Danio rerio: one gene and its partners. The protein of the gene in region 1 interacts with the protein of each later gene in a biochemical or structural test. Links are inferred from orthologs where the notes say so. Each region holds a gene or a part of one and is shown on either strand. Other genes may lie near its edges.

Region 1 (10,548 bases):
TGATGGAGGATGCTGGGTTAATCTGTAGGCAGTAGTTATCTTTGCCGGCGTATTCAAACAGACAGTACATGGGGTTCAGGACCTCATGCGAGAGCAGGAAAAACCATTCCCTGCCACAGAAATACACAGCATTAATGTGCATGTGTGCATATGTCAACTCAGTGCATCCCTTCCCATCAATGATGTTATGTACCTGGCCACGCCTCCATAGTCAAGCCCCTCCTCCCCTGGGAAAATGATCCACAATCTTCGCCTCAGGTCTTGTGGATGGCAACCCATAATCTAAATAAATCAATTTTTAAAAATGTATAATTTATTTCTGCACATCGCATGTAATGAGACCCTTAAACTTTAAATATGTGTAAATAAATCATCATTTACCTGCTGAAATGAGTCCTCAAACAGCGTTTTGCGACTCACATGGATTTTGATGTGTTGAGGCATTGATAATTGCTGTGGTGTTAAAATACATGTTTTAATTAATAAATAAATATTTACATTTGCAAATAATTTTTTTAATTAGTTTTGGAACTATGTCCATAAGCTCTTAAATTAAAAAATGTTTTAATATTTATTTCAGATAAATTAAATGTATATATTTTTTTTTACAAAAAATGGGTTATATCATACATATATTAGTATTATTATTATTATAAAATATGAAGTATATATAATAATATTTTTATATTATTAATATAAAAACAAAAACAATAATATAACATAAAAAATAAATAAATCATAGTAAGCATTTATAGATTTATATCAGTAATTAAATATTCATTATCATTTTTATATGATAAATAACTTTAAAAAAAGCCTAAAAATATATTATTTTATTCTGCCAATTAATAAATTTTTTTTAAAAGAATCACAAAAATGACCTTCTTCAATATATTAAAATAGGTTTTAAACATTGACTTGTGAAATAAAACAAAGGTTTGGACACTTATTATTATATAATAAACTGTATAATTAATAATCATATTTTTGTTAATTACAACAGCATAAAGATAAATAAACAAATAAATAATACTATGCAATAATATACACTACCGGTCAAAGGTTTGAGGTCAGTTTTTATTTTAAAGAACATTATTTTGCTCATCAAGGTGTCCCTTATTAAATGTAAAAAATAATAATTAATTGTTAATTACTTATTTATAAAATATTTATTTATAACTTATTACATGTTGTTTTTAAAGGAAATTATTACTCCAGTCATTATTTTTTATTACTATTACCGATAATAATAATAATAATAATAATATACATTATACATAATAAAATAACAACAATGATAATTAATATTAGAGTGATTTATGAAGGATCGTGTGACTCTGAAGACTGGAGTAATGAAGCTGAAAATTCATCATTAAAATCCCTAGAATAAATTATTAAATGAAATGAAAAACTACTTTTGAAAAGTTATTTTATAGTGCAATAACATTTCACAATTTTACAATTTGTACTGTATTTTTGATTAAATAAATGCAGCTTTGGTGAGCAGGAGAAGCTTATTTTAAAACATTTTAAAACCCTACTGACCCCAACCTTTGACCGGTAGTGTATGTATATTAGTCATTATTAAATGTTAATTATCATTTTTATATGATAAATAACTTGCAAAAACTCACAACTTCTTTTGGAAGCAGACTGCACTGTCCCCCAATAATTTACAATAAAATGACTTAATTCAAGATTTTAAATTAAAGTTTTAAGCATCGACTTCTTAAATGAAACATCAGAGATTTGAAGACATCAGGAGATATTAAAACAGCTTTATAAAAAATCATTTTAAATTAGTATAACTCCTCCATGAGGTCTTACCTGACACCAGAAGCGGAAATAGTGCACTTTGGCTTTAAAATCTCGTACGTATGTGATCTGAGGGCCGTTCTCACTGCAGGTCCACAAAGACACAAACAGACAGATGGTAAAACACCACACACAACCTCACTGCAATGCATCAGCACTGATTAAAAACAAAACAAAACAACATTGAACTTAATTTGTACACTGAAACAGGAGCGTCACTGTGTAAAATCAACATGCTGAAGGTTTTAAAAATAAAAAAGTTTTTCTTATAATAATATAAGAACTCACAGCGAGGATTTTCCTGTACGGGGGTCTATGTATGTTGTAGTTCTTCTGTTGTGATCCACAAAATAGGGAATCCCATCCACTGTAAACCTCATTTCCCAACCTTCCGGCAAAGGCTTCTCATTTAGCAACCTGACAAATTAAAACAATTAATTACAACAAATATAATGCTTATTGCCTGCTTGTAAAAAAATATAAAATAAATAACAAATAAATAACAATAATAATAATATACAGAAAGGAGGAAATTTGGTTAATAATAATAATAATAATAATAATAATAATAATAATAATAATAATTATAAAACAGAAATTAGGTAATTTAGTTGCAAAAAATGTATAATAAAAAATAATAATAATAAAAATTATGATAATAATAATAATAATAATAATAAAAATGATATTAATAATAATAATAATAATAATAATACTAATAATATAAAAAGATAAGGAATAAAAAATATTTTAAAAAACTTGATTAATTCAATATAAAACTTACAAATGCTGCCATGGCAACTAAATGAAATTTAAACATAAAAAATAAAATAATTTAAATTGCAATAAAACATAATACATTGTCTGTATTAAATATAATTAATATCTAAAAAAATGCAGCAAAAATACTAAATATCTCACAATTTCAATCAATTAAATACTGAAAATATAAAAAAAGCTTAATATAATATTAATATGAATGAAAATTAAAATAATAGTACATTGAAATGAACATAAGCTTACAAATTTATAAGCAAGCACAGAATATTAATAAAAAACTTTAATAGCAATAAAACAATAAAAAAACAATACTATTTCAACTATTAACAAAAAAAATGACAAAAGCATGCAACAAAACGGCTAAAAATTGAACTAAAAATAAAAAAACATTGTAAATATTTATAGAATTGCAACAGTATATAAATATTAAATAGTACTGTATAAATATATTGCGTGCAGCTCATAATGATCCCACCCTTGTGTGCGAGGGTCTTCCCATTGTGTGGATCTTGTAGGATGGTGAACAAAATACATCCTCCTATTACTGTCGGTACGTTTCTCTGTGAGCGAAACAAACAAACACACACACACACACACACACACACACACACACACACACACACACACACACACACACACACACACACACACACACACACACACACACACACACACACACACACACACACACACACACACTTAATTGTTTTTGAGTGACTAATCCTGATTAAAATAACACGGCATCCAAATAATCACAAATGATTGAATCACACATTATGTTTCAGTGTATAAAGAATGTGCAAATAGATAACGTCCCAAAATAAACACACACAGAGAAAAAAAAAGCCAGTATGAGCTGCTCTATTTTAAGGTTGAAATGAAATTTCCTCTTTCTGCAGCACAAAACAGACTCACCCCATCCTGACGGCAGCGGTCCCAGAGGGTCAAACTCTTTATTAGCTGTCGGCGCGAGCTGTTCCTGCAGCTGAAGACATGAGCAGAAGGAAAGAACAAGAGCAGATGAAATACCCTCAGCTAAGGTCACAGAGGTGATTCTTTTTATTAAAAATCATCTAAGGAAAAAACTCAACATCTGACTGCATGTCCTGTTACAACTGTGTCAAAAATATTTCAGAAATTCATTCAGAGATTTAAAAAAATTTACTGCTATTCTCTCTCGAATCAAGTTTAGCTTAGTGGTTAACAGCAGATGGCGCTCTAGGCTAGCTTTTAACAGCAGTTGGCGCTCTAGACTATATTTTAACAGCAGATGGTGCTCTAGGCTGGTTTTTAACAGCAGATGGTGCTCTAGGCTGGTTTTTAACAGCAGATGGTGCTCTAGGCTGGTTTTTGACAGCCGATGACGCTTTTGGCTAGTTTTTAACAGCTGTTGGCGCTCTAGGCTAGTATTTAACAGCAGATGGTGCTCTAGGCTGGTGTTTGACAGCCGATGACGCTCTTGGCTAGTTTTTAACAGCAGATGGCACTCTAGGCTTAGTTTTTGACAGCTGATGATGCTCTAGGCTAGTTTTTAACAGCCGATCCCTGCAGAAAAATCCAGCTTAAACCAGCCTAGGCTGGTTGGCTGGTTTTAGCTTGTCGACCAGGCTGGTTTTAGAGGGGTTTTGGCCACTTCCAGGCAGGTTTCCAGCCATTTCCAGCCTGGTCTTAGCTGGTCGGGCTGGAAAATGACCAGCTAAGTTCAGTTAAAACCAGCTTGACCAGCCTGGTTTAAGCTGGACATAGCTGGTTTTGGCTGGTCATCTCCCAGCCCGACCAGCTAAGACCAGGCTGGAAATGGCTGGAAACCAGGCTGGAAATGGCCAAAACCCCTCTAAAACCAGCCTGGTCGACCAGCTAAAACCAGCCAACCAGCCTATTCTGGTTTAAGCTGTTTTTTTCAGTAGGGATGGTGCTCTAGGCTATTCTTAAACAGCAGATGGCGCTCTAGGCTAGTTTTAAACAGCAAACGGTGCTTTAGGCTAGTTTTAAACAGCAATCTAGGCTACTCTTTAACAGCAGACAGTGCTTTAGGATGGTTTTTAACAGCAGATAGTGCTCAAGGCTGGTTTCTTTACAGCAGATGGTGCTCTATGCTAGTTTTTTTAACAGCAGATGGCGCTCTAAGCTAGTTTTAAACAGCAAACTGTGCTCTAGGCTAGTTTTAAACAGCAAATGGCGCTCTAGGCTACTCTTTAACAGCAGACAGTGCTTTAGGATGGTTTTTAACAGTAGATGGTGCTCTATGCCAGTTTTTAATAGCAGATGGCGCTCTAGGCTAGTTTTAAACAGCAAACAGGCTCTAGGCTAGTCTTTAGCAGCAGATGGTGTTCTAGGCTGGTCTTTAGCAGCAGATGGCGCTCTAGGCTGGTCTTTAGCAGCAGATGGTGTTCTAGGCTGGTCTTTAGCAGCAGATGGTGCTCTAGGCTGGTCTTTAACAGCAGATGGTGCTCTAGGCTAGTCTTTAACAGCAGATAGTGCTCTAGGCTAGTCTTTAACAGCAGATGGTGCTCTAGGCTGGTCTTTAACAGCAGATGGTGCTCTAGGCTAGTCTTTAACAGCAGATGGTGCTCTAGGCTAGTCTTTAGCAGCAGATGGTGCTCTAGGCTGGTCTTTAGCAGCAGATGGTGCTCTAGGCTGGTCTTTAACAGCAGATGGTGTTCTAGGCTAGTCTTTAACAGCAGATGGTGCTCTAGGCTGGTCTTTAGCAGCAGATGGCGCTCTAGGCTACTTTTTAACAGCAGGCAGTGCTCTAGGCTAGTTTTAAACAGCAATTGGCGCTCTAGGCTAGTTTTAAACTACAAACAGAGCTCTAGGCTAGTTTTTTAACAGCAGACGGCGCTTAAGACAGTTATTTAACAGCAGATGACACTCTAGGCTAGTTTTAAACCGCAAACAGAGCTCTAGACTTGTTCTTTAACAGCAGACGATACTCTATGCTAGTTTTTAATAGCAGATGCCACTCTAGGCTAATTTTAAATAGCAGATAAAGCTCTATGCTGGTCTTTAACCATGAACTCAATTGCTCACAATGAAAAGTGCTTGTACTTTGCCTGAGTAATGAAAATTGGCTTCTGTGCCATGTGATTAATATAAAAACAACTCACTATGAACACTCTTGTAATTTGCTTAAACGTTTCCTAACTTTATTAATAATTGTTTTAGTTTCAAGTGGTATTTGTAAGCAATTGGATGCAAGCAGAGTTTGGCTGTTTGTAAAGCATACAGCGCCATTTGTTGGTAAAAACTAAGTTCAGAATTAATTCAAGAGAGAACAGCAATGCATTTTGAAAACCTCAGCACTGATTTCTTGAACAGTTTTTTTTTCTCGCCACAGCTGTAATGTCTACTCCACATGAACTCACGCCATAGATGAACCTCTGGTTGAAGCGCTGCATGGCTCCCTGAAGTTGACTGCGCTGGTTCTGCCATTCCTCATAGTTGCGCACCGACTCTAGCGTGGGTCTCTGCCATGTGGTGGTTCTGTTTATATGATCCACATAATACACACGGCCCATTGGGTCTAAACGTCGCTCCCAACTACAGCATAAACACACAGCATTCTCTAAATAACATTGTGATGATGAATGTCTACAAAATACATGAAAATCAATAAAAGTAACAAAATAAAGACTTAAAGTAAGCTTAAATGCTGTTTTAGGAGTGTGTGATATTTACCGCCTGCTAAATGAATATGGTAATTGTTGCTTTAACAATGTGTGAATTTTTAAACGACATTTATACAAGCAGCGTTGCCCAACTTTCTGTCTAAATAAATAAATACATAATTACACACTAAGTACAATTACAAATTAAACACCAAATACTTACTTTACTTACAATATTTACAATATACTTACCACTTTAAGTATACTTACTTTACTTACTTTATTTACAATATTTGCAAGATATGCAGATCAATAATTCGACAAGCAAGAGTGCAGTTTTCCAGAATATCAGCGCAAATACAATGTCGCTTTTAAGTTTCATTACCAAAAATAGCTCTGCACAAAGGCTTTTGTTTGTCTTAATCAACACTCTACTGTTTAGTTCCTAAATAAATCGGTTTTAGAACAAATAATTTAATCTGAGAAATATTGCTAAATTACGAAGTATGCTATCCATCTCAGATGCAGAAAAGCTATTCCATGCCTTTATGACTTCTAGGCTGGATTACTGTAATGCTCTGTTTGCTGGCTGTCCAGCATCATCTATTACCAAACTTCAATTAGTACAAAATGCAGCTGCCAGAGTTCTTACCAGGTCTAGAAAATATGATCATATCACCCCAATGTTATCCTCCTTACACTGGCTGCCTGTTCAGTTTTGTATTGATTTTAAAATATTCGTTCTTACCTATAAAGCTTGAAATAATCGAGCTTCTGTTTATCTAACCAACCTTCTGTCTCGCTACAATCCAACCCGCTCTTTAAGATCTCAAAACTCAGGGCTTCTGGTAGTACCTAGAATAGCAAAGTCGAGTAAAGAAGGTCGAGCCTTCTCCTTTATGGCTCCTACACTCCGAGGCTAAGAGACACTCTCCCAGTCCAAAACTAGATTAAAGACCTATCTGTTTAGTAAAGCATACACTCAATACATCACTTAGCGGGTTTCCACACAAGTTTCTGCATCTTGTTCATGTACACTATGAACAGCAGCTATGCTAATTATTCTCTTTATTCTCCATTTCCACCTGGGGATACTCATCCCGAGGTCCTCAGATTATGTGGAGTCACTGATTGGATCCAAGACCAGCGATGAGATGATCCCAAGGTTTCCATATCCGGGACCAGGCCGTGTCCTGAGCAGCTGCTGCGCTGGTCATGGAGGAGTGGAGAACATGAAACTGATTCCAGTGATGCTCCAGGGACAGACGAGTCTTCGCTGAGGCCAGCATCCAGCCTCCACCGCTGAGACTGCAGCTCTGCACAAGACTTTTGGCCAGCGGAGAAATCAAAATGGTGGTGCCAATGGAGGCTGGTTTCTCTCAAGTTTTTTTTTTTCTTCACTCGCCAATCGGTCAAGTTTTTTTCCCTCTCCGCTGTCGCCTCTAGCTAGCATGGTTTGGGATCGGTAGAGCTACCCATCGATGAATTTGCTCTTCAGTGTTTGGACTCTCAGTAATGATATTAAACTACACTGAACTGAGCTAAACTGAACTGAACTTAAACACTAAAAACTGAACTACACTGTTCCAATTACTATGACCATTTATGTGAAGCTGCTTTGACACAATCTACATTGTAAAGCGCTATACAAATAAAGCTAAAAGCTAAATAAATTTTTAACAATCATATTAAACATATTAAATGATTATATGATCAGAAATATCCAGCAAATAATAGCAAGATTTCATTATTTGTTATTATCGCACATCCTTTTGCTGTCTTTATTTACTCATTGCTCAGATGCTCTTTAAAACGTAATTATTTGAGAGCTTGGACCTGGCTTAAAAGCAACTCTTCAGTATGTATATTAGTGTCTTAATATGCACATAATATGTAATGTTTAGTATGCAAAATACAACTCTGATGAATCTGTTAAACTGAAAAGCAACCTCTGAGGATCACTGGTTACCCTGGTGGCAGAGGTTCAGGTCTTTCCCATGTGGTTCTTTTCTCGATGTGATCAACATAGTAAACGCGTCCGTTCTGATCCGCTCTCTGCTCCCAGCTATGAGAAAACACAAAGAAGAAAATACAATACAGCCAACATATGTGATGGATTCTTCAATTCAATTACTTTTCAACTTAAAAATGATATAAGCAGTTATATTGTTAATGTTACTTATAATTTACTTGTTTTAAATACTGTCAATAAATTAAACAGTTCTGTATAAATAAATTCAGAGGGGTAGGCCTGTCATGGCATCTATTTTTTGTTGTTCAATATATTGCGATAAACAATATTATTGTCATTTAAAGCAGCGGTTTTCAACTGGTTTGGCCATGGGACCCACATTTTCACATGGTCATCAAGCCGCGACCCAAATTTTTATATATATGTAAATCCCCACTTTACATATTCGGGGTCCGACTTGCACTGGAATTTCACATGTCAAATGGGACGGTTGTCGCACGTGCATTTCAAAATAAAAGTCTGATATAAGCAAAATAAGTTAAATTTTAAACTTTTGTTGTTTTTTTTTATCACACACTCACACCCACTGAAAATGTTTCCGAGACCCACCAGTTAAGAAACACTGATTTAAAGGCCATTTTATGCCACTTATTATATAATGCCAGAATGACAATATATGTACGCTATATATTTTGCATAATACAAGTACACTGTTCCAAAGAACACGATATTTCATTCTTAATAATATATTATATTTAATTATAGTCATTTTAACAACATAATAAAGAGGCAGTGGAGTCAGAATATGAAAATGCATATCCTAAATAAATAATAATAAATGTTAACAAAAAGTGTGAGGTAAAAAGTAACTGAGGCTGCGATATCTGCGACCAGATAAATTTTTTTAGCTGTCAGACACCCACCTGAAAATATACTATAGTAATTTACAGTAAATACTATAGTGTTTTTAACCCTACTGAAACCTCTAATAGAGACAGAGGGCCCTGTCATACAATCGTTGCAGGGCGCGAGACAATTGTTATTTGCTAGTTTCAGCTCGGAGCAAGAGTCAATTTGATGTTTTGCAGTCAATTTCGCTGTTTAAATAGCAAATGTATTTCCACCCATAGGTGTTCTGGTCTAAAAAAGGAGGTGTGTTAAAGGGCACCTACGGTTAAAAAAATCTACTTTTCAAGCTGTTTGGACAGACATGTGTTTATATATAATGTATAGACCGTCATATTGGGCTGATATAAACATACCCAGTGCTTTTTTTTTCAATTTACCAACATAAAAACGGTGGACCAATTGGAGCGGTTTTCAGAGCGACCGCAACTTGACGTAGGAGTGCGGTCCCCCCGCCCACCAATATTGATTGATAGGCACGCGCCCCTTAATCCTCAGTTTGTCGTTTTACGTCCGCCATTTTCAGCGTGAGTCAAAGCGACGTCACTAAAGGAACACCCTTGCTCTATTTTTAGATGTAAGGCTCATTGGGCTCAACACAAGACCAACATTCACCACTTGATCGCTCTAATCGGAATTATTGGTTGTAACTTTAGGTAGGTTTGCAAACGTGTACTTTTCATTGAGTCTACCTTAAACTTCAGCTGTTCGCATTTCTCACAATCACAGAAGCTCCCTGTGATCTTAGGTGCAGCTGGAAAAGTGCAAGCGCGTTGCCTCATGTGCGCATCTCTCCATTGGAAATAAAACAACAAACTTGCCTGCAGGTCGCACACCAGAAGCTCCGCTCTGCATGTTGCAACGCTGACGCAACGCCGTGCATTTTGGAATTCTGGGGGTGAGTTTCTGTTGGGGTGCACGCAGACAGCCGCCAACTTGGAGCACCGTTGTGTGTGCACCCTGATGAAAACCTGTGTTTAGAGTTCTAAAATGTGTGGCGCGACGATTCGGGACACTTCATGTTTCTGCCGTGCCACAGAGAGTGTCTGTTGTGCCGTGTCACGGCTTTGAGCGGCTCATCCGGTGTCTCAGTCAAAGTTTATTGAGTGTGCGTGGTTATTAGTCTAGGTGTAAAAGCTTTGCACTTGAAACTAGAACACAGTTGGCTGTAAAACTTGGCTGTATAGAGTTTAGTTCAGTACACAAATGATTTTGTACTGATGATTTTGGTCTGTATCCGAGTCGTACATGTACGGCCGAATGCTGATCCTCTCACTCCTGCTCCTTCTCAGTCTGCCTGTCTATTGAGCGGGTGAGCTCTCGACTCCGCCCCCTTGTTACGGTAAGCGGGAAGTCGAAACTAATTTTCATGTGAAGCAACACACCCCTAAAACAGCGTGCTGTGTACACGCCCACAACATGACACTTTTGAACACATTATAATAAACAAATCTGAATTGTGTTTTA
Region 2 (10,040 bases), on another chromosome or scaffold:
CAATAGTAGTAGTAATACCACTATATTATTATGGTCACTATTCTTATTATATCACTATAACTGTTATATTACTATATTATATATTTATATTATTAATATTTTTACCATTAATATTGTCACTATTATCATCCTCATCATCATCACTTTTATTATCAATAGTATCATTATAATTATTATCAAAATGATTCCAGCATCACTGAAAATCCCCCTTTATTTTTAAGAGTGCATGCATCAAGTTTGAGAGACCGGCACAACTACACTAACATGCAGTCTGCATTAATATGTCAGATGAAGAACAGATAAAGAACAAATGAAGAACGTGCTCTCTGAATCTCACACTCTTGCGCCAGAGTGTTGTGTACGTGCTGCTATCTATCAGCCTTCTCCCCTCCTCCAGCGCTCCATGTGCGGGGGCGTCGCCGCTGGAATCAGGCCCACATGGGAGAGGTTTCCCGGTCCTACACTAAGGAGGAACTACACTGCGGTTTGCCCATATATGGGACTCATATCAGTTGCCAAATCCTGAGTCAGATCATTCCAGATCAATGCAGAGTTATGTTTACAGGTTATACTTTAGAGTACAAATCTCTAGTGTAAAACATCAGCAGTTTCTTTTTTTATGTTTCTACATATTTAGCTTTTGAATTGCATTATGGGATCTTTCTTTCAACAACTTTTAGCCATAACAAGTGGCTTTATTAACATTTCTAATAGTTTAAAGTGATATATTGTCTGGGTTGGTGTTGTATATTGTGTTACAAAAACCTCGTAATAAACTGCCAGTACATTTTCTTTGATTTATTTCTCTCAATATATTATTTCTTATTCATTATATTATTTCAAACTACACTGTAAAACCCCAAAAGTTAAGGTAACTCAAACCATTTAAGGTAACCTATTGCAACAAACTTGAGTTCAAAAACTAATCCTAATGAGTACTGTGAACTTACTCCATTTGAGTAAACGAAGCAATTTGATCACAGTAAAACCCAATAAATGAAGAGAACTCAAACCAACTGAGTACTGCAAAACTCAATGAGTTAAGGCAACTCAAACCGTTTGAAGAAACTGATTGCTACAAACCATTTGAGTTAAAAAACAAATCAATATGAGCACTTTACTCCATTTAAGTTGAATTAATGAGGTATTTAATTAACTCATTACCTTCAACCCTGAGTTCAAAACTATTTTCAAATGAGTTCTCTGTTAAAATAGTTGGGTTAAAAATACCCCAACATATAAATCAACTATAGGTTATTATAGCACCTTCCCAACTATGGGCTATTTTAACCCAAAGCATTGGGTTATTTTAATTAAATGTTATTTTTTCCATTCTGCTATTACTATTGAAGTACTACTTTTATTTTCTAACTATGGCTGTGAAAATTAATGAATCTCTCCGCTGGGTCCCAAAGGCAAGAATGGCAGGTGAAACTGATATAAAAAACATGACACAGAGAGTAATTTGATAAAAAATAACAATATTATTATGTTACAGCTTAAACTTCACAACGCAAAAACAACATTACTTGCGCATATTAATACAGCTCTTCTGTGTCAGTTAAATCAGTTGACTGTGGAAATTCAAAATTTTAACCCAACTAGTTGAGTTATTATTAAATAATCTAATAAAGGTTCAAATATATCTTAACAAAACATCAAATATTTACCCAACTGATTGAGTTATTATTAAATAATCTAATAAAGGTTAAAAAATATCCCAACAAAACATCAAATATTTACCCAACTGATTGAGTTATTATTAAATAATCTAATAAAGGTTAAAAAATATCTCAACAAAACATCAAATATTTACCAAACTGGTTGAGTTATTATTAAATAATCTAATAAAGGTTAAAAAATATCTCAACAAAACATCAAATATTTACCAAACTGGTTGAGTTATTATTAAATAATCTAATAAAGGTTAAAAAATATCTCAACAAAACATCAAATATTTACCAAACTGGTTGAGTTATTATTAAATAATCTAATAAAGGTTAAAAAATATCTCAACAAAACATCAAATATTTACCAAACTGGTTGAGTTATTATATAATAACCTAATAAAGGTTAAACGTAACCCAACAAAACATCAAATATTTACCCAACTGGTTGAGTTATTATTAAATAACCAAATAAAGGGTAAAAATAACCCAACAAAGCACCAAATATGTTTAACTCAACCATTGGGTTTAAGAAATAACTAAACGTTAAGAACGTGTAGAGTTAACTTTCAGTGAATTTTGAGTTAACTCCACTCATTTCATTTGATAAAGTTGACAAAAATGTCAATAAAAGTCACTTTGTTCAACTGCAGAGTTTAATTTTCAACATTAAAAGTCGACAGAGCAGATATCAACATCCCATAATGCAATTCACACCTATAAATAAACAGAAAACACACATGTGAATCACTAAATACAGTAACTGTTCATTAACACATTTTTATTTACAGTGAATTCTATGAGAAGGATCTATTATTATTACTAGTCATGTTTTATGTGTTATATGACTCAGTACTTAAAAAGCAGTCCAATTCAAATAGCTGATAAGCCCTTGTATGAATCTGTATTAGATATTCTCTTAATTACTTTTATTTTTATATTACTCACTATAGCCTTTCCTAGCATGTTTAACAATAAAGCACATTAACGGGATAGTTCACCCACAAATTATATGTCTGTCATCATTTACTCACCTTTTACTTGCTTCAAAACTTTTATGTTGAACAATGAAGAAGATATTTTGAAGAAAGCTGAAAAAATCTAACGGTTAAGAAAAACAAACACAATGGAAGTCAATGGGTTTCCAGCATTCCTCAAAATATCTTCTTCAGTGTTCAACATATAAAGAAAGGTTTGAATCCAGTCAGTAAATGATGACAGAATTGTAACTCTTGGGTGAACTAACCCTTTAATAGAGCTTCTCTTGATCATTGACGAGATGATGTGGTAGCTCAGACACATTTAACTTGGGCTGAAATCCCCCAATCTCAATCCTGCAATCCTGTATTTACTTAAATGGCCAGTTTAGATGCTCCACCTAAATTAAAGGAATATATTTAGAGCTTGACATTTAAAATAAATTCCAATTTCGTTTATATTAAAGAGCTCCTCGTATATTCTGCTTCAGATCTACGGAGATCACAGTATTGTGTTGGAACCTTTTGTTTCCATTTCGACAAGAATGTTTATTATTATTATTCACACGACATCCTCTAACGTAGTGTTTTTCTCAAGAGACCACAGTAGTGTTTCTGTTTTCATGGCCATGGGAAACTTTTCTTAAAAGTGCCGAGCTATTGCGGCCAGTTTTTGCTTCTTGTCTGTGGAAACAAAAATAGGAGCGCAGCGCTCGGTCTCCCTTTGCTCTCTCGCCTCCAGCGTTGTTTTCAATCTCAGCGCTTACTGGCAACAACGTCATCAACCCATCTGACAGCTCGAGGAGCGGAACGAACTCTCGTCCAATCAGCGGCCGCGATTATCTCAGCCACGCCCTCAGCATTTGGAGTATATAAGAATGAAGGCGCACTTATCATGATACTGAATGCGCGACGGGCCAGAAGAGCTGTTTGTAAATAACCGTCTGGGAAGACACTTTTTGGACGTCAGCTGTCGAGAGAAAACACCTGTCGAATTGGTACAGTAAACTATTTTGGAAGTTTCTTCTTTTTTTGCTCTCTTTTGCCTGATGTAATATAACGGAGAGAACTTGCGGACTTTAGTCAGCTTCAGTACGTCCCAACGTAATCTCTGTTCACATGTCAACAAAAATGGAGCAACCGTTTTATGACGACTCGTTTCTTTCTGCTTATGGTCATCCAGACGCTGCCCTGCACGACTACAAGCTCCTAAAGCAGAACATGAGCGTGAGCTTCGCCGAACCCTACCGGAACCTCAAGACCCTCCGCTCCGAAAGCGACTTCTACACGGCGGCGACCGGAGACGTGGGCTCGCTGAAACTCGCCTCTCCGGAGCTAGAGAGACTCATCATCCAGAACGGTAACGGCGTCATCACATCACCCACGCCGGGGCAGTATTTGTACGGTCGGAGCATCACAGAGGAGCAAGAGGGCTTCGCGGACGGATTCGTCAAAGCGCTGGACGAGCTCCACAAAATGAACCAAATGCCCCCGCCGAACGTGTCCATCGGAGCCCCCGGGGTGTCGAGTTGTTCGGTGGCGTCGTCAGTCTTCGGCGCCTCCTTACCGCCCGAGACTCCGGTGTACACCACCCTGAACAGCTGCAATCCTAACACTAACCTCACACCTGCAGCCAACTACCCGACAGCCACCATCAGCTACCTGCCTCACCATCACCACCACCAGCAGTACCACCACCATCACCACCAGCCCACGCCGCATCCTCATCACTTCCAGCACTCGCTCCATCCGCAGCGGCTCGTTACTCTGAAAGAGGAGCCACAGACCGTCCCCGACCTGCAGAGCAGCGATGGTTCTCCTCCCATGTCGCCCATCGACATGGAGGACCAGGAGCGCATCAAAGCGGAGCGCAAGAGGCTCCGGAACCGACTGGCGGCCACCAAGTGCCGGCGACGGAAGCTGGAGCGCATCTCCCGGCTGGAGGACAAAGTGAAAGTGCTCAAGTCGGATAACGCCGGACTGTCCAGCACTGCGTCCCTGCTGAGGGAGCAGGTAGCTCAGCTTAAGCAGAAGGTCATGACCCATGTGAGCAGCGGGTGCCAGCTGATGCTGACGCCGAAGATCAAGTCGTTTTAGGGGGGAGAGGGATGCTACGGACTCTGGGAAACACTGGAAGAGCAGATCCTGTTTGTGATGATGTTATTGTCGCAGCACTGAGTACGAGCGTTGTATATTTCTTAAGTGTTTTCTTGTAGAAAACTTTAATGTTATTGTTGTTTTCCAAAGATAAGGTACTTTCAGCCGAACGGACAATGGACTAAACTTTTGAAGTGAACAGTTTTGGTTTTGTTGTTAAGTGCTGCCCTTTGAAAACATTCCAGTAAGTTATTGATATTGTGAGTCAGGTTGAGCCAGACCTTTAACTGTTTTTCTGTTTGTTTGTTTTTGTTTATTTTTTATATTTAAGTAAAAATGTTGAAAATGATTCTACTGTTTGGGTTGTTTATTTCAAGCGTAGAGCAGAAACAAAGTTTATTCTGTAGCCTACGGCTTTAAAGTTACGTCGAAGACGTGCCCACGTTGGCTTTTTTTTTCCTGCTGACGCAAGGCCCATATATGGGCAGTTTTGGTCTATGTACGTCACTAAGGGTAGATTTCGGGAACCCCCGCCCACGCTACCGGTCAGGAAGTCCGCGCGCTTTCAACTCTGACGTTCGATGAATGGAGCGCGTGTGAACGAGAGAAAATTTAGCAACGCGGGATTTTCCCCGCGCGCACAAACCTTCCCAAAACAGTTTCAGCGAAAAGAAAACTAGAGATAAAAATATGAGCACGGGCATTTTCCAGGTACTTTGCAGAAAACGGAGCCGTCGCAAGCACAAAAATAGACAAACAGATCTCAGTAAATATAAGAGCAAGGCTTATAAACGAGAAGTGCCCACAGTGACTCCTTTATCAGCTATTTCCCGAAAACACACAGGCGGTAGATTAGCCGAACTGGCCATTAAAAACGCCAACCCTTTATTAAAATGTTAAATTCATTTGAATAATTCCTAAAATACTTAGATTTTAGGTGACAAAAAGAGGGTTATTTGTCCATTATGCTAATTACACCTTTCAGATGTTGAATGAATGGTTGTTTCGAGCCTCCTCACAGACTATAAACACACATCTACACTGAATTGTGCCGTAGAAAGTTCACTTAGCTACTTCAAATGTTTTCGCAGCGATGCAGTGTTAGAAATCTCTTCTTAAAAGAAGGCATCTTGCCTATTATATTTTCTTTTACAAAATCATCTGGAAAAGTACCCTATTCCACAATAAAGATCAATCTAAAAGTTTCTAGATTATAAAATAGCCTTTCATTTTAAAGAGCCAAGTCAACATTTTAAACCCAGGAATTTTTACTGGCAACATATGAAGTTAATAATTAACATTTTTAGCATATTTTTTAGTTTTGTAGTGGTCATTTTTGTCACCATAGTCTGAAACCAAGCTAATACACGTTATAAACATTTAGATTTTTAAATAAGGTAAAGCAAAGGGACAAGACAGACAAGAAAATGAGTGAATGAATAAGGTAAAGCTTGAGATGACAGGATAATAACACGGCACACTTTATATTATAATATCTGTTATATTTAAAAAAAAAAAAAAAAAAGTATAACATTTTATTAAGGCAGAATTTACCTTTTTCATGGACACAGAAATGAGCCCTGGCCTTTAAATAATAAGAAAACACGGGGATGTTGTAAACAAAATTACAGATTTAAGCAATAAAGACAATTCTAGGAGATTAACTAAATTACTATTTATGTCTGAGCTGGTTTAAAATTCAGTGTAAAATAACCACAGAATTTACGAATCACTTGTTTAAGCAAGTACACATTCACTCAGTCCTGAACACGAGATTTGCCAAATATTTATTAAAATTGTTTTGGGTTTATGTAGAAAAGTGATTCCTGCTTCATTACAGCTGAATCAATGAGGACTCCAGAGCTGTAACTCTGTCCTAACTATAATGAAACACTGCCACCTGCAGGGCAGATTTGTTAATATTCTGTTAATTTTGACTTCCACCAAAAATATTGTAATGTCATTATCAGAGAAAATACGTTTGACTTCGCCTGCTACCTTTAATCTTAATAACTTTATATTCTTAAACAAGCATTTTAATCAGGGTGTGAATCATTTAGGCCTATGTTCGATAGCGTATTACACGCTTCAGTGAATCAAATGTCTGTTTTATATATTTATATAATAATATATGTTTTATATATTCATTTTAATTACGTATATTTTAATAATAAAACATAAGTCTTCAGTGTTTTAAAGGATATTTAGCGTATTCTAACTTATAGTGACTCGATTAGTCGTTTCAGGGGTTACTTTAGGTCAATCTATATAACTCAATTGACTTTAGTTTTAAGTTATATACAGACACAAACATATATTCTACTTAAAACAAGTGTCTTTTAAACACTTACGATGTCTGTAGCTGCTGAAGACCTGCCAGTTTCAGACTATCGTCGAGTGAATGTTTTTTCCTCACAGAGTGTTTGGCGCGCTTGCCTTCACAATGGTATGAACCGTTATAGGGGTGGTAAAATGTATATTTATACTATTAATTGAATTATAATATTATATAAGATACTATGGAGGGAGAAAGGGAGAAACCTGCAAAAACAATAAAATAAAAAATAAATAGCAAATTAACTAAATAATAAATCCACAAATTCCTGCATAAATAAAACAATAAATCAATAAATATGCAAATTTATCCCAAAGTCCTGCCTAAATAAAACACTAGCCAAATAAATAAGTAAATAAATTAATAAATTCCTGCATAAACAAAGCAATAAATTAATAAATATCCAAAAAATAACTTAATGTATATAAAACACAAATTCCTGCATAAATAATTGTTTAAATAGTACAGGCAGATTAAAAATAAATTACACAGATGTTGGGGGAATAAGAAAATGCTTAACTGAACGTGGATTTCTCCCCCTTTCAAACTACTATTAATTATGCACAAATTTGTAGATTTTATACATTTAATTGTGTATTTATTTAATGTTTTATTTATGCAAGAATAAATATTTGTTTGCGTAGGTATTTATTTATTGTTTTATTTATGCAGGAATGTGTATGTATTTATTTATTCATTTATTTGCATATTTCTTTATTGTTTTGCAGGTTTTGTTCTCCATACCCACACTATTATTCATTTCAATATTTATTTATGCAACATTTTTAAAAAAAATTTTAAAATACACTCATTTGGATATTTATTTAAGGTTTTATTTATGCAAGAATTTATTGATTTATTTACTCATTTAATTTTTGCCTATTTATTAAATTTGTTTTCGCAGGTTTAGTTTCATGAATTATCATGCAATTTCATGATATGCATTTATCTCTCAAATTCTGTTCCATCTATTATAATTCTAATATTAAAACATGAAGAAAACACTACTGTGTCCTTCTGCATTTAAAATTCGGTTTACCATGCCATTACCATACCTTCTAAACTAATTAAATGTTTAATTTGAGGTCAACCATCCATTAAGTAGCAAGCACAATAAGACAACTGCAACATTCAGCAATAACAGCCTGTTTATTTAACAGAGATATTGACAAAATCACCAGAATGCCAACAACTTGAGAGAATTTAAAACCAGCTATGTTCACAGAGTACCAAATATGCAATGCAGACTAACTAGCTGAACACAAACTACAGATATTTCAGTGCATGAGAGACGCGGGCTGAAACGGCTTCTTCAGACAGAAATCAGACTAACTAGTGCATTTAACCTGTGTTTGTTACGATGGCTAAATCAACTTTTCTAGACCCCCTCAGGCTGAATTTAAGTGCTTCAACAGCCCAGTGAATGCAGAAATAGAGACTGTTACTGCTTGGAGAAAAACTCCTTGCTCTTCTGCACGTCGGGAACGATGGTGTCACTTCCTGGCTTCCATCCAGCAGGACAAACTAAAGGAGAAAGCATAAGAAGTTATAATAAGTGATTTTGGCGCCCTCTTGTGTCATGCATAAAGTATTACATCAGTTACAGTTCAAAAAGTAGGGAGTCTTTAAGATTTCTACTGTTCTTTAAATATTTGTATAATGTTCACAAAGCTGAACTTACGAATATTAAATGCAAAAAAAAACTTTCATACTTCAATTAAAAATAACTGATTTCTATTCAAATGTTTTAAACTTATTTCTGTCTCGCAAAGCAGGATTTTCAGCATCATTGTCGTCTTCACAGTCACATGATCATTGAAGAAAAACTAGCACCGATAGCAATTTTCTTGGATGATTCAGATTCCCAATTTTTTTTTTAAATATACAAAAAAAAAAAAATTCTGAAAAAAAAAACAACAGAAATATAAAAATCTGACAAGACTCCAAGTTAAATTTTGCATGAACCAGAGGAATTAAGATGTTAATTCAAATAATGCGAGATGAAATGAACAAATTCTTGACGTATTGAGCATTACAGTCATGTGACCAGTCAGCTGTCTCCATTATGCTTTGTTTACTTTTGGTTGCTAGGTTACCAATACCACAGTTGGCCACTTTAACAACCTGATAGTGCTTAACCCAGTTTACTGACAAATTAAAAGTCCTTCCGCATATACGCCATTAAATAGAAGACCAGCCGGTCATCGTTTAGGCCGATCATGAGGAAATGTCAGCTGATTACAATCCCTGGCCAGTCAAGAGAAAAAAAAACCTGATTCATATAACGCACATTAGTCGCACTTTTGGAGTCACAAAGGTGCATGTGCAGGCAACTTTTTCACTTCATAAGACCTCAATGCATGGTCAGCAGTCAGAGGTGTTCATTATGTTTTGCCTGTATGCATTTTTTTTTACTCTAAAAGTGGTGGTTGATGCTGACCTGCATTTAATGAAACCAGCAAGAACCACAATTGCATTTAAAAATCTTCTTTAAAATGTTCTGAGATAAAAAAAAGGTGGAGGGGAGAGAAAACCTAGATGGAATGACTATAAAAAAATATTAAAATCATTTGTTTTCATTTTTATAGGTTACTTTCTTCTAAATCACACAAAAATATCAGATTTCAAGTCAAACTTGTAGACGGTAATCTTACTAAAGACGTTGGCTTAAGTTTTGCACAAATAAAGGCTTGACACCCCTATTTCAGATACATTGTGTTTCACAATTTAACTTTTATGTTGCCTTCAGGATGCGTTGATGTTTACACAACAAATACAACATGCTTAGAATGATCTGGAAACATGTTTGACCCCATTTACACAAAGATCACCCGAGACAGACATTAGAGGACATTAAAGGCTCATTTATACTTCTGCGTCAGGCGCAGGCGTATGGTCCCTTGCCATGGCTGACGTGTACCTCTCAAAAAATGTATTGACGCGTAGCGCAAGCTCTGTGATTGG
Region 3 (10,648 bases), on another chromosome or scaffold:
GGAGAACCTCATTTTAAAACATTTTTAAAAATTTATATTTTTATTTGTTAGTTTTTCAGCTCCTATGCTCTCAAAATCTATCTGCATAAATCCACAGATCTTTTCCACGAAATTCCATGCAGAAATACCAAAAAAGGTCTGGTCCTGACATGCTATTAAAAAATTATAAAAAGCGTCTATGTTATAGTTGCTGTAAAAACATGACTGCGGATATACAGTAGATGCAGCTACTTGGCAGTGTGCACATTTCCTGGTAGCAAATTCAAGGCAAATGATGCCTTTTAATCATAATTGTCTTTCGGGGGAGGGGGATTTACACTACAAGACACCTACAGTTTATGAGAATGGAATGTAGACCGGAACTTGTTATCTTGAAGATGGTTGTGATCTTGCTGGTTGCACCCAGCAAGCTGTCTCGTTTCCATCCTAACCCACAAACTGGTGTTATTTTAGACCTATGATGACCCTATATTAACACAGGAAGAGCACTTTACTTTAAAATGTCTTACCCACTGACTGACTCTTTAAACTGAACTCATATACATGTGTTTTACTCACTCATATCAAATTATGAAGAAAGCTTTTATTTTTCATCAGACTTCAGGGTTCAGTTCAGGTCTGAGATCCTCAGCGGACTACCAACAATGCCACTGTTGTGATGTTTATCAGAGTATGACCACAGCAGGACAATGCCATATATTTGTTCAGCTTTTGACTCAATTTGGAATGAAGCAGACTTGACAATGAGACTGATTCATTTTTTGCATCATAACACCTCGACTATTTTCATAATGTAAATGTAAAATGACTTACGCTTCAGCTTATGTGCTCCAATGTCTCTTCTAATCCATCTTTTCTGTTGTCTGTCTTTCTTCTCTCACTTTCTGTCTTTTTTCTGTGTTCGTTGAGATGTCACAACAGAAATGCATTCCTGTGTGAGTACAGCACGCTGCAGGGTTATCAAGTTAGAATCAAGCCCCGCCCCCTTTCCTCTGGTCACATGCAGATGAACAGTTCCTCCTTGTTGCATTATACACCACAAACCCGTAGATTTTCATCTATGCACTCACATCATGCTTTCTGCTTTGCATCGATCTGTTACCCAGTTTTGCCAGGGTGTTTGGCATTATGTTTCAGGCTAATGTTCTGAACACCAGGACAAAGGTCTTGCAGACAGAGCTGCTGGAAAATCCACACCCGTGAGGGAACTTTCTCAAATGGAAACCTAATCTTGTGTTGTCTGATAAACTCTGTAAAGTTTATGGCTTTTTATGTAGTAGATTGATCATTCCAAGCTATAATCGGGTGTGCTGCAGTACTTCCCACTCTACAGTTTTCAATTTATTTATTTTTCTCATGGTTGCTTTTTAATTTAAATGAGAAACTTGGCGAAACTGTGGTGCTTCCATTATGATGCAAATGTTGCCATTCTTGTGAAATTCTCTGCCGAACCACTTCTCTAAAACAAACAGTCATTCATTGTAGCACACGTAAAATATATTTTACAGTATGTAAAATGGGCGACACGATGGCTTAGTGGTTAGCACTGTCACCTCACAGCAAACTTGCTGGTTTGAGTCCCGACTGGGTCAGTGGGCATTTCTGTGTGGAGTTTGCATGTTCTACCTGTGTTGGCATGGGTTTCCTCCAAGTGCTTCAGTTTCCCTCACAGTCCTAAGGCGTGTACGTGAATTGAAGAAGCTAAATTGGCCGTGGTGTATCTGTGTGAATGGATATTTCCCAGGACTAATTTGCAGCTTGAAGAGCATCCGCAAGTTGGCGGTTCATTCTGCTGATGGATAATGGGACTAAGCTGAAGGAAAATGAATGAATGAATGAATGAATAAATGAACGAACGAACGAATGAATGAATGAATGAATGAATGAATGAATGAATGAATGAATGAATGAATGAATGAATCTACATATACACAATATGTAAAATTTTTACCTAAAACCACTGACCTGTCATCATGTCTTTCGTGTATTTCAAATAATGATTAAATGTTTTGCATGTGTGTTGTTGCATGCACTATAAATTATTATTTGATGTGGGTTGCCATAATAACAAAGTTTATGGATTTTGATTAAATAAACAAGAAGTTAGACACATAATAAACTGAAATTAAATTAGAGTCACTATTCAGAACATAATATCATTTGCAAGCCATTTATATTTAGTTGAAAGTTGTTGTCATTGAAAGTACAGCGGTATTCAACCACAGTAAAGACTAAATAAGACAAAAAAAATCATGTTTAAGGTCTTTATTGTGCAGTTTCTCTGACAAGATGTACACTGCAGGTCAGATATTTGGGGATATTATGATTTGTCAGGGTTTTTGAAAGTCTTTGCTGTTCATTGATAATGTAATTGATGTAAAATGTAAGAAATTGTATTTATTTCTGTAATTCGAAACATTGTCACTCCAGTCTTCTTGAATTATTTTGGTCTTCAATCATTACTACTGGTTCTCATTTTATCAGTTCAGAACTAAATGTTTCTGCTAATTTTAGTGGATATTTTAACTTAAAAAAAAAACACACACACATACACACACACACACACACACACACACACAATTGAACTGAAGTATAATGTTTTGAAACCTAAATATATTTACTGTCACATGTAATTAATTTAATGTATCTGTGAAAATGATTTGAATTGTGCTCTTACTCTTGTACTCTTAATATACGACTGTTTCCATAAAAATAAATGAACATTGATAACAATCAGAAAAAAAATATATTCAGCAGCAAATCAGCCTATCAGATTGATCCCTGAAAGATAATGCAACACTGGAAACAAGTAATAACAGCAGACATTTCTGCATTGACTTTGAATTAGTCAATTGACTTTTGTTTGAAAGTCAAATTGAGAAGTTGTTTTAACTAAAAACTGCATTTCAAAGTTTTTATTTTTATTTTACTTTTGTCCTGATGAGCAAAAGAGACGTCTTTCGAAAAAAAATGTTTTCAAATAAAATGTTTTTATCACGCTAGTAAGAAATACACAACCAAGACGTTAAAGTGTCATGAACGGTTATGAGAGCTGTGTGTAAGTGGATGATTCTCATAAGGATCGCCTCTATCACACATTTTGACTTTTATTATTACGCTGTACTGTCTCCTAGTGGTTGAATGACACTGTACTGTCCTCAACAATCAATTTTCTCTAATAAAAATGGCACTTGCGAAAAGAAAAAGCAATAATAAATGTATGATTACAGATTTTCGCTATAACGAGACAATTGATTAGACTCACCTACAACGTCACTAAAGTGATAACATAATTAATCTCGCAGTCAATGCCATCGCCGTTTGTTAAAAAACAAGCATATTTGTTTCTGACATGCGCGAATCCTCCGCCCATAAGTACCCTGGAGCACACTCTCGCCGCGGCCTCGCGGAGAGCAGAGCGCATGCGCATACCGCATCAGAATGTTGAGCAAAACGGACTAGAACAGAGACGGGAAGACGCGCAAGCAAATTCAAACATATTTTTTCTCCTTGTCGAGGTGAACGTCTGTCGACCTAGAATATAACTTATAAAAACATGACGGAGCCCCAGTCAGCACTGTTACTCAGGAGACAGCTAGCAGGTAATATTTGAAGGCTGTTGGCGAAGGCAGGCTAACAAACCGGTGAACGTTTTAGCCAGCCAGTACACCCGAGACGGAGCATTTTAGCCGTTAGCCGCTAGTTTAGCCGCTAACAAGCGCTGTGTTTATCATACAGCATTAGTTAGCATGTTAGCAGCTAAAATAGCCGGCTAAAGGCAAGCCCCGTCGTCTTTTGTTATTTTAAAATGCTAGTTTTGTACTACTCTTGCTAAAATATCAACATGAGAGTTTTTCTAACATAATTAAAACAACAATACGCGCACGTTTGTTTAGTGTTATTCGGTTTATTCATGTCAACATAAGTGTCAGTCACTTTTTTCCGTATCACACCGGCGGGGCCGCTCTCGATCGGCTACCCCCGTGTTTTGACATCTGTGTCCGGACGCAGTTTCCGCAAGAGAACCAGTCATCTTATAAATGGAGGAAAAGTCTGTCATTGGTCCAATTTCTGCTCACTGTCTTATCGTTGTCCGTCAAACCAATAGTATTATCGCACGGTTTAAAGGTGAGATTTATAAGCCGTATATTGTGTGCCATTACCCCGCATCGGGTTGATCAAATCCCTTTGTTTTTCTAGGCTGGCTAGCAGGCTAAAGCTAACAAATTGATGGCTGCTGTTTGATCACCAGCTCACCGGTACAGCGAGAACTGGAGACCCATAGTCTCTGTCACCATAGACCTGTGCGGGAAATTGGCTCTTATTAGAGTCGTTATGAGTGTTTCCTATTGTTCTATGCCCAGCACACACACACTGAGCAATATGATCCGCGAGTGTCAGCTTTACTGAGCTCAACCAGAGGAGGATTTCTCCACTGGGCCCCATTTGCGCAGTGCAGCCAGTGAAGTGAGTTAGTTATAGGGGTCAAACTAGGCAGATTACCTGAGTTTGGGGGTCTGATGAGATCAATTAAAAAGCAAAACAACAGATCTGCTACATGACAGCTGTCTCTTTGCCACAGACAGCTCAAGCAACCCCATCCCCCCAAATTACTCATCTTACACACACATAAAAGCAACTCGCTTGTTTCTTTCCAAGGGTCGCAGGGTGAGCGGCACCCCGGGCCTGTCATGGCGTCAGGTTCTGCAGAGGCCCTGCGCTTGATTGACTGATTCAGGGGGTCAGGGGCTGTTTTGGTTGTCTCCTTTCAGAAGAACCAGCATGGTGAACTCATCAGCCTTGATCTAAACTCAGTGAACCCTTCGTGAGAACAAAAGCCTCACAACGTTCATTAATGTTGGCCCGTAAAAGATACGGGCCAGGAAAATGCGGGCACAACTTGTGTGATGTTAATGCCATGTGTAGAGAGGTTTTTTTTAGAAATCACTCAAAAATTACCTTTAATTTTTTACCCACCCCAAGCTATTAAACATGTTTTGAGACTTTAAGTTGAAAAAAAATTAAGGTTTTGGGTAAAAACATTGCAGCGTCTACTAGAGCCGTGTGATTAATCGAAATCTAATTGCAGTCACCATTTGAAATGTTGCGATTAGCTAATCACAAGAGGCTGTAATATGAAGATATATTTGTATATTTTTAATTCATTTATTTCCCGTCCAGAGCAAACGCGTGACTGCGTTTTTGTGACAGTCTTACTAGACAAATTAGTGAGCACAATTGAGTGATGAGTGTCTTGCTAAAAAGTCAATTGAAAGTATTGCCAGGGACACTCAATTTAGTAGCAAGCAACAGCATAGTACAACTGCAGAGTTGTTTCAGACATGTTAGTTTGCTGAGTGTTTTTTTTTTATTATTTATTATTATTGTTTGTATAGTACGCTACACTATCTCGCTAACTTAAGTTGAACTTGTTTACAGAAAGTTAAGGTCATTTGATTTACTGTTCTATCTTTGCATACTGTTTCATCTTTTTGTTTACTTTTTGTCCTGGGAGAGAGGTTGGCTTTTCTAGAGAAAAATTTGTGTTTAATTTCTAAATATTTAAAAATAAATTTGATTAAGTAAGTTAATATCTTTTCTGTTTCTTTTTTTTTTTTTAAATAACGCTCACTGCATTTTTCCTGAAAATTTAATACAACTACCAAATGGTTTAGTTGAACCCTGTTCACTAGCATTAGATGAAGAGTTGTTTCCTTTTCCCCAAAACCTTGGCTGAAGAAAGTCAGTCATACACTGGTTGAATGGACTGCAGGATAGTAAATAAATTATGTATTTTTTTGCCTTCAGATAATGTTCTGTTATTAAAAGCACTACTGTTATGTCACTTTATGCGCATGCTTTTGTAACTTGTGGGTTTTCTTTGCCTGTCAAGCTTTTTAACATACATTGACAGGAAATTCTCTGAAAGTGATTCCAATGATATTGTATATCTGTGGTGTTATTGTTAAATCTGCTGTGTGGACATCTCTCTTCTAATTGAATTTGAAGGGTTGGTAAACCTTTCTAGTAGTGGCTGTCATCCATTCTTGGTTTGAACAGCCCTTTATGCTATTTGTGTGATTGTTGCTTAGGGCTGGTCGATATGGCAAAACTGCAATCTTGATAATTATTTTGCATATTGAATGATAACGATGTATATTGCGATACCAGTTGTTAATGCTTCCAGATTTAAAAGAGTATTCCAGCAATGACTGAAGCCACAAAAATTAGAGGGTCTATTAAATGGCATAGCATATTTTCAGCCGATACTTTTTCAGTGGCAGAAAATTTTGGGACATCTCTAACATCAACACACTTTTAGATTCTCGTTGTTGCACATTTCTGTTGTGTGATTGGCTCTTAGATCAATATAGAGTAAAAAGTCCAAAGCTTATCATTGTTATTGACACAAACTTCATCGCAATTTGATATAATACAGTTTATTGGCCCAGCCCTAGTGTTGCTATAATAACACTTCAGCACTCTTATATTGGAAGTAGGTTTGTTGAAAATACAATTGAGTCATTTAATAACCATCAGATAGTGGTAAAAAGGTGGCTTTGACAGAAGAGACTCTTCATATGAATGCCAGACTGTCTTAGTGATTCATGTGCAAAAATGACACATCCATATGACTGGATAACCCAACTGTCATCTTGTTTATGACTACAAGGTGGTCATGCAGTCAACCTCCAGATATTCTGTTGTGCTCCTTCTTGCAAACACACAGAAGTTCAGAGTATCTGAACAAACAGACAGGCGTTCTGTGACTAAAGAGTCGCTCAGCTGATCTGATAACAGACAGGCAAATTGGTCATTTCTTGTCTGAAATGTTGCCCAGATGTAGGTCTAACTATCAGAACTCATGTGAAGGCATGTATGCACCTACTGCCCTGAAATGCCCCAATTTGCCCTTTGAGTAGTTCCATGCAATTGTCAACCAAAGTTTTCACCAAAATAGCCAAAAGTATGATCACATTCATAAACCTCATGTTTATTTTCCTCATTTAAAATATGTTTACAGATTGATATTTTCTGAGCCCATGACACTGTGGTTGGTTGTTTTGTAAAATATAAACCGATGTTTCAATATAATATTAACTCATACTTTCTCTGTGAATTTGTTTTACGTTTTTACTGCAAATGTCACATCTATAACACTTTTCTGTACAAAGTGGCTAATTTGTACCTTGATGTCTCTTCCTGACAGAACTGAATAAAAATCCTGTGGAAGGTTTCTCAGCCGGTTTGATAGATGATAATGACCTCTACAGATGGGAAGTACTAATAATTGGTCCTCCTGATACACTCTAGTAAGTCTTTTTGTTGTTTTATAAAATGTTATGTTGTGTGACACCTCACCAAAATTAAATTATTATCAATCAGCTAAAGAATTAGATGATGCAAAATGTAAATTGACATTATTTACTTGTGTAGAGCTACAGTATAGGTATTCTCACAATCTAAGATGGGTCAGGTCAAGTTTATTTCTTGATCTTATACAATCTACAATGCGCCAAAGCTTTATTACATGGTAATACACAGTGTATCAGGCAGGTAGCAGTGCAGTTGTAGTATTAAGTCATGATGCAATGGGAAATTAACTGAATAAGTTTATGTATTTGTTGTGATGCCATACTGAATCAATTTAAGCTGTTGCCTTTCATTTAAAGGTTGTTCAATCACAGTATTATAAGCCTTTTATATTTTTCTGTTTACAGTGAGGGTGGTGTCTTTAAAGCCCATCTTACATTTCCCAAAGACTATCCTCTCAGGCCTCCTAAAATGAAGTTCATTACAGAAATATGGCATCCAAATGGTAAGTTTGCCTCCTAGGGTCTTTTAAATATTTAATATATTTTAATTATTTATACTTTTTTACTATTTTGTCAGCCATACATTTAATATCGTTGAATAAATACACAATTTTTTGTGTTTTTTTTTTTTTAGTTGGTTGGAGGGATGGGTTGCAGATTTCCAAAAAAAATCAAATATGAATTGTTCTTATAAATCCTTTTGAATCTCTGGCTGATATGGAAACTGTTTCGAATTTACACTGACAGACTTCGTTATAAATTCATCCGCATGCAGGTTTTTGTTTGTTGATTCCATTTGCAGCATTGTGGATATTTTTGATCCACTTAGGAAATATCTAATAATCTGCCAAACCTAAATACTGACATGCTCTTTATTAGGCTAATAATGACATGAGTTTTTTTTTTTTTTTGTCATTTTGTACAACATTTTAAGTTCTATATGTTTCTGAAACATTTACATTTTATTATTTGCTAGCTATTATAGTCATGTAATAATCCTTCAGCCACAATACTTATCTTTATATAATATTACTATGTTAATTAAATGATCATCATCAGCAAACAAAAATGGTTAATGTGGTATATAATCCACATTAAAATCTCATGTCCTGTCTCTGTATTGTTCTGCACAGTTGACAAGAATGGTGATGTTTGTATTTCGATATTGCACGAACCCGGGGAGGATAAATATGGCTATGAGAAACCAGAAGAGCGCTGGCTCCCCATCCATACTGTAGAGACCATCATGATTAGCGTCATCTCTATGCTAGCAGACCCCAATGGAGACTCCCCTGCCAATGTTGATGCAGCAGTAAGTATAACGTTAACTTGTAAAACCAGATATGATTGCATGTTGGCAGAAGATCTTTACTTCATGTGTTAATTCATTTTTATCTGTTCAACATTTCAGAAAGAGTGGAGGGAAGACAGACATGGTGAATTCAAAAGAAAAGTTGCCCGCTGTGTAAGAAAGAGCCAAGAGACTGCCTTCGAGTGATATACATCTAGCAGCTTGTAGCTTCACTATTTTCAGGGTAAGCAAGTGGACTTTTGGCATCTTATTTGACTGCCAATGTCTTGTGAACTTTTTTTTTTTATTTCCTCAACATGTCTGAAACAAACTGAACATTCATCGTCCAAGAAAAAGTTTATTCACACTCATTGTTTTTTTTAATCTGTGACTATTTCTTATTTTTATATTTAAAAGGGGAAACACACTTTAAAGTTGTTAACTGCATATGTTTGCGCACTATATAAATAGTCAAAGTATTACAGTTTTTGCTGAATTGTAAAATATTAAAATCATACAATTGCCATACTGCCCCACCTTCCTATACAGCTCTAATCCTCTCCAAGCAGGACTTTTTGTCAGACTTTGCAGAGATCTGTTGTGGTAATGTCAACCTGTTAGAACAGGTTCATGAAACTTGTTTAAAGTAGAGGTTCAGATCTAAAGATTATTAGGTAACAACAGTGGCTCTGTTGTCTGCTTAGCCTTTTATTGGTAGTCTTTTAGGGGCCGGTCACACCAAATGTGCTTTTCAGTTCCGTAAACGCAAGGTGCACCACACTGCCTTTTGCTTACTTGAGAAAAGAGCAGTGCGCTAGGCTGGATATGTTCTTTATGTTGCTAGACGACCACTCTATCAATGGTCTTCAGGCTGGAGCGCAAGTTTGCTTTTGGACAAATGCAGGGTGCGTAAAAAGCATGCAATATGCTTACTGCCAATAGAAAACTTTTTTTTTTTTTTTTTTAAGTGCATCTCGCCACAAAAAATGTTTAGTGTGGTAGTCATCTTTTAAGACTTGTTTATAGATGGTCAGTTTATTTGTATGCTCATCAAAGCTCACAAACCAGTAGTGTTGTTAAATTCTATCAAGTATGTTAAAAAACTTTTCTGTTTTAATTTGTTTTAAAATTGTTTGGCAAAGCTGAATATTCAGTAGCCATTAGTCCTGTTTTTAGTGTCACATGATTTTTCCGAAATCCATTCTAATATACTGATTTACAATAGGGAACTCCTATCAGGATGCTCATTACCCTATACTGATATGACAGCTGTTTGCATTAATTTTCAGTGAACTATGTGTTGCTGCTCCATCTGAAAGCACGTGGAAATACTTTATTTAAGACTATGTTTTTAGTTTTATTAGTTTCTGTTTCTTGTATCCAATATGTGACTAACAACAAAAACAAACAAAAATGATGACCCCCCCCCCCCCCCCCCCCCCCCCCCCCCCCCCAAATGATTCGCATAGGCTACACATAAATTGGGCCGAGAAGCTAGTCTGCTTGTGGAAAGCTTCCATTCCAATCATGGAAACTGGTTCTTGTGTTTTACATTGTCATATTTTGATTGGTTTTTGCGATTGGCTACATTTTGTAATCATTATCAGCTGATCAATAGGAGCTTTCTAATTGTTCAAAAGCGTTTAAAAGAACAGCATTGATTTAAAACTTTTTTACTGTAACTTTTGTTTAATCTTATGCATGATGAATAGAAGTGTTGATTCTTTTCAAACTTTTGATGGCTTTAGGCTTTTGAACCAGCGTGTGCTTTTAAGTTGTGTTTCTAGAGAATAAAATCTAAGCTGAAGCTGAAATGTATCTGTCGCTTGTTTTGACAGGCGACAGGCCCAAATCAATTGAAATAAACGTGGTGATTGTTCTGACATTTGAACCCTCTCTAATATCGCTGTTGGTGTCTTTTACAGGTCTCCAGTTGAGAAACAACATGGCACTGTTTTCTTGCACTCTACCACCCTATTGCTGGACTGGTTTTCATTGAATGTTGGCAGTAACAGACTGGCATTAATAGGCTGCAATAGAA

What was found.
Region 2: the proteins of itcha (region 1) and junba form a complex in vitro, tested with the Homo sapiens proteins (2 studies listed by BioGRID, with this or other methods). The link is inferred for Danio rerio from reciprocal best matches to the Homo sapiens genes ITCH and JUNB.
Region 3: the proteins of itcha (region 1) and ube2g1a form a complex in vitro, tested with the Homo sapiens proteins (2 studies listed by BioGRID). The link is inferred for Danio rerio from reciprocal best matches to the Homo sapiens genes ITCH and UBE2G1.

Annotation. Positions count from the first base shown.
Region 1 is NC_133181.1:60,215,016-60,225,563, forward strand, and holds part of itcha (itchy E3 ubiquitin protein ligase a), read right to left. Parts: intron 8,269-10,548; coding exon 8,173-8,268; intron 6,136-8,172; coding exon 5,961-6,135; intron 3,581-5,960; coding exon 3,511-3,580; intron 3,156-3,510; coding exon 3,071-3,155; intron 2,233-3,070; coding exon 2,104-2,232; intron 1,901-2,103; coding exon 1,828-1,900; intron 454-1,827; coding exon 382-453; intron 283-381; coding exon 194-282; intron 111-193; coding exon 1-110. UniProt on the Homo sapiens protein: Acts as an Acts as an E3 ubiquitin-protein ligase which accepts ubiquitin from an E2 ubiquitin-conjugating enzyme in the form of a thioester and then directly transfers the ubiquitin to targeted substrates.
Region 2 is NC_133176.1:55,051,101-55,061,140, reverse strand, and holds junba (junB proto-oncogene, AP-1 transcription factor subunit a), read left to right. Parts: upstream 1-3,538; 5' UTR 3,539-3,642; exon of another isoform or gene 3,643-3,763; coding exon of another isoform or gene 3,764-3,865; coding exon 3,866-4,741; 3' UTR 4,742-5,090; downstream 5,091-10,040. Other genes in the region: prdx2 (peroxiredoxin-2), read right to left, coding at 8,518-8,600. UniProt on the Homo sapiens protein: Transcription factor involved in regulating gene activity following the primary growth factor response. Binds to the DNA sequence 5'-TGA[GC]TCA-3'.
Region 3 is NC_133180.1:31,601,225-31,611,872, forward strand, and holds the start of ube2g1a (ubiquitin-conjugating enzyme E2 G1a), read left to right. Parts: upstream 1-3,438; 5' UTR 3,439-3,556; coding exon 3,557-3,602; exon of another isoform or gene 3,603-4,128; intron 4,129-4,200; exon of another isoform or gene 4,201-7,210; coding exon 7,211-7,313; intron 7,314-7,721; coding exon 7,722-7,819; intron 7,820-8,449; coding exon 8,450-8,628; intron 8,629-8,727; coding exon 8,728-8,814; 3' UTR 8,815-8,851; intron 8,852-10,532; 3' UTR 10,533-10,648. UniProt on the Homo sapiens protein: Accepts ubiquitin from the E1 complex and catalyzes its covalent attachment to other proteins. In vitro catalyzes 'Lys-48'-, as well as 'Lys-63'-linked polyubiquitination. May be involved in degradation of muscle-specific proteins.